Arabidopsis thaliana: one gene and its partner. The protein of the gene in region 1 interacts with the protein of each later gene in a pairwise test. Each region holds a gene or a part of one and is shown on either strand. Other genes may lie near its edges.

Region 1 (3,757 bases):
TCAGTAGAGCCGCTATTAATAAGAAAGTGTAACTTCCGAATGACAATGACGGTGCTTGGTTGTGTTTGCTACAAACATAGAACTCGAATTTTTCAAATAATAAGAGTGTTGGACATTAGTATAGCGAGACAAGATGATGATGAATTCAGGTATTCTCACAAGGCAACGTTCCCAAACAGCAGGAACTACCACAAGAGCAGTTTAGCTTGTCGTCTCTGTTCTCTCCGGCCACACTTACGTCTCCATAACTGAAACTTAACTCCTCCTCTGCGATTATGTCCTTTGCTGCAAAGAAACAGAGCCGAGGAAGCAACGCTCCTGAGCTTCTCAACAGAACAGTGGAGAGATTTCCACCGTCACAAGAATGGTTGATGAATCTAGCAACGTTCCCAATTCTTGTGGCGTCGATGTTTATCCTTAAACAAGCTTGTCCTGAAGGGAGGTGTTCGCGTACGACCAAAAGAGCTGAAGCGAAGGATTGTGTTGATCTGAGTTTGTCGTAAATGTTTTGACGTCTACGTGCTTCATCTGTTGTCAATAGCTCACCTATAAGAAGAGACGACAAAATCAAGTTTATGACTTTTGCATAAACCAAGTCATTAAGGCAGATCACAAAGAAAAAACACATTCAAGAAAGAAGAAAGATTTGTCATTATCTCTAATCTCCAAATCCAGCATTGTGATACTACCTCTAAACGATTGAAACAAGAACATTTCGAAAGCTCAGATCTTTCACTGATGGAGATCACTCTTAATACCATGCTAGAATCTCATCTCAACGCATCGAGCTAAATCATATGCAGTCCAAGTGTAAAAGGCTAATAACTAATGCTAATATTCCTCAAATCATGTAATCTTAAGCTTGATTTTCAAGTTCCAATTATCAATCTTCCAAAATTAGTGACCTACTGCAATAAAACGAATCACTATACTATTAGGAAACCAAAAGTTGGTTAACGTTACCTAATGCTAATATTCCTCTAATCATGTAATATGAAATCGAAATGTAATTGTAACCTGCATATTCACAGATGAATTGGCCTTGCTTGATAAGCTGGTCAGCGTACAAGCACCAACCTTTCTTCTCATCTCTCACAATCTTCAAACTAACCGAAACCCCCTTCTGCGTAACCCGGTTCGAACAATCGGACCCGCATCCACAACCCGACCCACATTCGTTAGCTATCTCTTCCATCCCCGCGAAAGCTAAACACTTGCAGTATCCTTCCTCACACCTCTCGCATTCGCATCCTGACTCGTCCACTAAACTCACCCCAAAACGTCCGCTTTCACTCACTGAGTCAAAACAAGGTCTAGACTCCGATCCACATTCATTAGCAGCAGCTCCCCACCATTGTCGCGGCGGAGGAGGAGATGAAGCGGGGATCTGAAAAGGTGTGTAGATGAAGTACGCGTATCGTTGAGAATCGATGGAGTTGTGAAACGGGATTGAGATGTTTTCCAAGGATCGTGCAGCGTCGAGAGATCGGTGAATGGTTAGAGATTTCGAGATTAGGGATAAGGTTTTGCAGGTTTGAGCAACAACGGCGAGTTCTCGAGGGTTTAGCCATGGGAGAATCAAATTCGCACATCGGAGAAATCGATCGGCGGCCGGAATAATGTCGGAAGCTTCTCCAAGACAACGCGTCTTCGGTGGTGGTGACTCTCGCAGTCGCTGCATATTTTTTCTCAGCCAGCGATATACAAACGACGTCGTTGCGTTTAATTCTATTTATATCCTTAAATTCTATTTTAATTTCACTTCAGTAAGAATTTTTTAAAGAAAAATGGCGAGTTTTTTTGTGTTAATCATAACTATAGATTTACTACCGTCGCTTTGGTCTGTGTAATGAAATCTGTCATTTTCACAGAGGAAAAAAACTTACAAAGACAAAATCCATTGCAAAAGAGCGAGCAACAACGACGAAATTTCGAAATGCCATCGCCACCGACGACGACTTCTCTCTCGGTGACACAGACCATAAACGGATCACACAGCTTCACAATCAAAGGCTATTCTTTGGCTAAAGGAATCGGGATCGGAAAACACATCGCCAGCGATACTTTCACCGTCGGGGGTTATCAATGGGCTATCTATTTCTATCCTGATGGCAAGAATCCTGAGGATAATTCGGCTTATGTCTCCGTTTTCATTGCTTTAGCTAGCGATGGTACCGATGTTAGGGCTCTTTTTGAGCTTTCTTTGCTTGATCAGAGTGGTAAAGGGAAGCATAAGGTTCATAGCCACTTCGATCGTGCTCTTGAGAGCGGTCCTTATACTCTCAAGTATCGTGGCAGCATGTGGTTCGTTTCTTCGATTTCTTCTTTTCAATTTTTTTATTTTTCTCTTAGCCATTTTGCTAGGGTTTGGTGAAGAATTGGCTTAGGGTCTCTGATTTCTAGTGAAAGCTCATTACTTTTAGAACAAATTTTGCTCCTTTGTTGGGGTTTATATGAGGTTACGGATGTTATTAGTGGTCAAGACTCAAGAGTGTAGATTGTTGAAGGCAAAATGAGATTGAGCTCACAACATTAAAAAATATAAAAGAGATTGAGAAATTCAGAGGAAATAAAGATACATTAGCTGTGGATTTCTCAATCTGTTTGTTTCTTTTTTGTTGTGTGACCTGTATATGAAATTGAAAGATGGGTGGTGAGAGCGATAAACAATGTTCTTTATTTTTTATGCTGGAGGCTGCTTGGCTTTATTTTTGTGGTCTGCTTGAAACTGTGAGTCTGTGACGTATGGAAAGAGAGAGGGCTTTGAGTAGAAGAAGCAAGTTTCTAGAATATGAAGGTTCTATTACCTGTTTTGGACATTCTGTAACTAGTTTACCTGAACTTTTCATAAACAGAATTTGGTTCCTGCTGCTTCACCAGCATGTAGCGTTGGTTCTGTAGTTAAGGAAACTTGATTGGGAACGAGAGAGGGTTTGGACTGATGATATTTAGGATTTTCTTGAAAAGTATTGTGTTTTCACATGTTGGCATGATTTCAAAGACCTGTCATTGTGATGTTTTACTATATAGGCACCAATTCTTTCAATATGGTAGGCTAATTCTGAAGTAGGAACATTGCTTACTGTTTACCTGCATATAGCAGCACAAACCTTGCTTTTATGAAACTGTTCATGTTAGGTTTGAAACTTCTTGTATGAGTTAAGCAACAGAGTATTGTCTTTTGCTCTCAATATTCGTACATTTGGTTTTCCTGCTTTTTTAAACATCTGTTGTTAAGTCTGCTTGTATGAATTAATCAACCATTGTCTCTGGTTTCTTCTTCTTGAAGGTGATGCCTTTGGCTTTGATTTGTCTCTCTATTAGAAAGATCTCATTGCTTATTAATGCAGAGGAATAATTCCCTCTTAGAGTTTTGTACTTCCCTGTTTCGCTCAACGGATCCTTATTCAATTTTATATGCTTACAGGGGCTACAAGCGCTTTTTTCGAAGACTTATGCTGGAAACATCTGATTTTCTGAAGGATGATTGTCTGAAAATTAATTGCACCGTGGGAGTTGTGGTCTCAGAAATAGATTGCCCACGGTTACATTCTATTCATGTCCCTGCATCTGATATTGGATCTCATTTCGGGATGCTTCTAGAGAACGAGGACGGTTCAGATATAACTTTTAACGTCTCTGGTGAAAAGTTCCGTGCTCACAGGTTAGTATTGGCTGCTCGATCTCCTGTCTTTGAAAGCGAGTTCCTCGATGTTACGGGAGAAGAAGATCGTGATATCGAAGTTACTGACATGGA
Region 2 (3,757 bases), on another chromosome or scaffold:
TAGAGATTTCTTCATGATAATGTTGTTTGTATCTTCCAAATCAATCACAAACTATATATAGTATCATAAACTCGAGATGTCTTTAATCATTGTCTTGTAATTCTCATCTTTTTTAATAAAGAATTTATTTTGTTTGTAGTGAAATTTGTCTCGATTTTTCTCTCTTCTTTGTTTTCAGCTTCTTTTCTTGAGAATTTTTTCTTTATTCATTCAGATTTTAAAACTTTTGTTTCATATTCATAACACATATATATAGTTAAATAAGATATTGATCCGCAGTCGGACATATATAATCCGAAAAGTTTTCCAAATTTGCGTTGCCATGACGCCCATGCCAGATTTTAAGTCTACAAGTATGCAAACCAATAAGTAATGTCGATCGATTACACAATTTTTACTTCCGTTTTCCCTCCTATATATGACAAAACCAACCAACTCTAGTGATTAAGTACCATACACACCTAATGATAAAAATTAAAATAAAATAATGCAATTTCTTTTTGTGGTAGAAAAAATAATTCCACAAACCTCCTCACCCTTTTTCACCAGTCAAACTAATTCATAAGCAAAAAACAAGTAAAAAAAAAAATACTATATATGAAGTACCCGAGTATATTTAAATAAGTTGAGAAAAGAAGTACTAGATGATAGTATGAGATATGGATTTATCAAAGGGAAGCGGGGAAAGTGGCGGAAGAAGAGAAGATTTCGTCAAGTGTCCCGTTCATAGAGTCTCTGCATTGAAAGTCTTGTTGGATTGACATAATCTCTGCTTCGTTCATAGAAAGTTGAGGGAAATCTTGGAGTTGAAGAGGAGGATGATATGGAAGCTGATGAGAATAGTTTGAGAAAAGATGATCATGATCGTCCAGAAGAGAAGATGAGAAATGAAGAGCAAATATGGATGAGCTGTTTGCTTCGTCTAAAAGGACCCCTTGAGTTAGCTCTGATGAAGATGTCTCCGCGGATGCTCTTTTCAAGCTCTCGTCTTCAATATAATTACCATCACATTTTCTCCACTTCTTCTCCTTTTCTTCTTCCTCTTCTTTTCCTACACTAGTGCTCTCTTCTTCTGCTTCTTCTTCTTCCCCTTTTCTCTTTGGAATTTGTATGTTCTTCTTAAACACTCGGCACAATGCATACGACTCCTGTTTTAGATCAACATTAATATTAGTCGATATGGTTTATCAAAAAAAAAAAAATTAGATCAGAAATGAATATAGATATATATGTTAATAGAAGTTTGTGCATGGGAAATAATTTACCTTCAAGGAGGAGGAAGGAGCGTGCGTGAGACGATATTCATGCATGACCCAATTAGTACGAAGGCCATGAGGAGCCCTTCCTCTATAATAAACCAGTGTCTTCTTCATTCCCATCTTCATCTTCTTTGATTCTACTGTACGATCTTTCCCCGTGGCCTTCCAGTAACCCGCTCGGGTCGCACGGTTCGTCCTAGAGCCATTTGGATACTTCTTATCCCTTGTGCTGTAAAAGTACCATTCCATGTCGTTTCCCGGCAAAAATGACTTTTCTGTTCCGCGTATTATCCAAATAAATAACTCATAAAACCTCCAATATCATATGTATGAATGCATCATGACCAATATATGTAATCTATAACGTCAGATTGACATAAACAAGCTGAACCATATATAGAGAGAGATATAAAGAGTTGGATCGTACCAGGCAAGTCCCATGGCTCGCATTTATAAAGATCAACTTCTGGGATGATCTCGAGCTCAATGGCTTGGCCGTTGACCTTCCTATCAAGATAGTAAGCCACCAGTTCTTCATCAGTGGGATGAAACCTGAATCCTGGAGGCAAACTCATGGGCGCCATTCAAAGTGTATGCGTTAGAAAACGAGAGAGAAAGAGATGAGAGAGATTAATTAAAGTGATTAGGATGTTCGTACGACATATGAAGGTGACTATATATAATTAAAAAGATGAGACTCTGAAGAAGATATGATATGGGAATGTGTAAAAGTATGCCATGGGATTGGCATCTTCTGAGATTAATATTTTGTCTTACTTTGGGTTGCTTTTTGGTCAGTGTTTGTCATGATACTCATCACACATATTTTCTAAAACCAATATATATATTTTAAATAAAAACCTAACTCTGGCTTTTGAAGATTCTGCAAGTGTGAAAACCCTAGTAGGAGGAGAGACGGAAAAAGCTTTAGCAAGAAGGCCCCATCTCACAAATACTCACATATATGAATGTATATGCTTATAATTCCGGTTAGACCTTAACGTGGGTCATGAATCATTATAGAGGGATTTTTATAACGTTTGCTTTAAACCAAAAATGAAGGCTTTTTATGATTCAACAGTTTAGGGGACCCATCTCTTCTTCTCAAACCAAATCTACCTGGCGACACCTAAACACTCGGCTTTTTCTTTTCTTTTTTTTTCGGTTTGACAGTTTTGTTATATTGTTTTATGTTGTTATGGTCTTATAATAAGAATACTTATAAATTGAATTCATATATATGATTAAAAAATGGGAGAATAAAAAAGCAGGAGGCATCCAAGTCGACTTTGGCTTTAGTGTTGGGAGGCTTCTTTAGTCCCTTTTACATATGGATTAAAGACGTTGTTCGGCTCTTTTACATCATTACTCCCACACAATCTTTGACTCTCTTTCTCTCGGCCCTTCAATTTTACTAACTTCCGGTCAAATCTCTTTTGCCTCGACTCTCGGCCTCGATCCAAAAGATAAATTAAAAAAATAAGGACATCTTCATTCTTCACATGTATGATATATATAACTCATGTCATATATTAGATGTCTCGTTTACATGGTTTTTTTTCGTTTGCTAATATATATAATTCACATGTAGACGAAGAACATTGTAAACGGAATTTAACAGAATGAAGTAATCAAACGTTTTATGTAAGGAAATGATCAAATACTGAGGGAGTCCACAAGTTGCGACATATATAAAACTCCTCCATTCTTATAAAGTATAATATTCAAACTTCAAGTAAGTAACTCTCCCTTTTCCGTGAGAAAGAAATAACAATAACATTTTAGGGAAGCTTTAAGATGTGGTCACCAATAACTTAGGGAGAGAGAGAGAGAGTGACAGATACAAAAAACAAAAGATAGCAACTGAAAAATATTTTGGCGAAAGATGCTTTAACAGTTTAACTTATCAAACGACAACAACAAGACATGCCCCAATTGTTTCACCACTTTGTTTTTCTTGGTCACAAATCGAGTCTAAGTCTATATGAACAAGTAATTAATGTGAGTACTATATATAAAAAAAAATGTGACTATATATATAAATGTTGTATCACAAATGCAAAAGGAATGTGGATTAATTAATTAATAAAGACAACGAGGAAGCTAACATGCAAGCCTAACTAAAGACATGCAACCTTTGATACGATCTAAGGGGAAGCGAATAAAGCTAATTAAGATCTAAGCATCTTATCTTATCAACCCTTTTATATTTCCATTTCACATGTATCAAGTACCTATACTCTTTCTCAAGCTTATAGTATTGATATCTAGAGTATCAAATAAACATTAATTAATTAGACGTAACACAATAGTGACATTATTAAATGAATAGTAAACAAACTTTACGTGTATATATATCCATGACGAAATTGGCAAAGGCGGGACTCTATGGGGGAATCATGATAATACATACATACGATATACATGTTGACATGTATCATGTATCATGATAATACATACATCATCCCTTTTTTGTTGGTTTGTTAATAAAATGATCA

Evidence for each region. The genes of interacting proteins can lie anywhere in the genome.
Region 2: the proteins of SDG20 (region 1) and NAC020 interact in a two-hybrid assay, tested with the Arabidopsis thaliana proteins (one large-scale study listed by BioGRID).

The regions. Positions count from the first base shown.
Region 1 is NC_003074.8:937,900-941,656, reverse strand, and holds the start of SDG20 (SET domain protein 20), read right to left. Parts: upstream 1,758-3,757; 5' UTR 1,682-1,757; coding exon 1,018-1,681; exon of another isoform or gene 547-1,017; coding exon 146-546; 3' UTR 1-145. Other genes in the region: BPM4 (BTB-POZ and MATH domain 4), read left to right, coding at 1,850-2,304, 3,428-3,757. UniProt on the Arabidopsis thaliana protein: Histone methyltransferase.
Region 2 is NC_003070.9:20,279,047-20,282,803, forward strand, and holds NAC020 (NAC domain containing protein 20), read right to left. Parts: upstream 1,907-3,757; 5' UTR 1,844-1,906; coding exon 1,687-1,843; intron 1,535-1,686; coding exon 1,266-1,534; intron 1,149-1,265; coding exon 669-1,148; 3' UTR 461-668; downstream 1-460.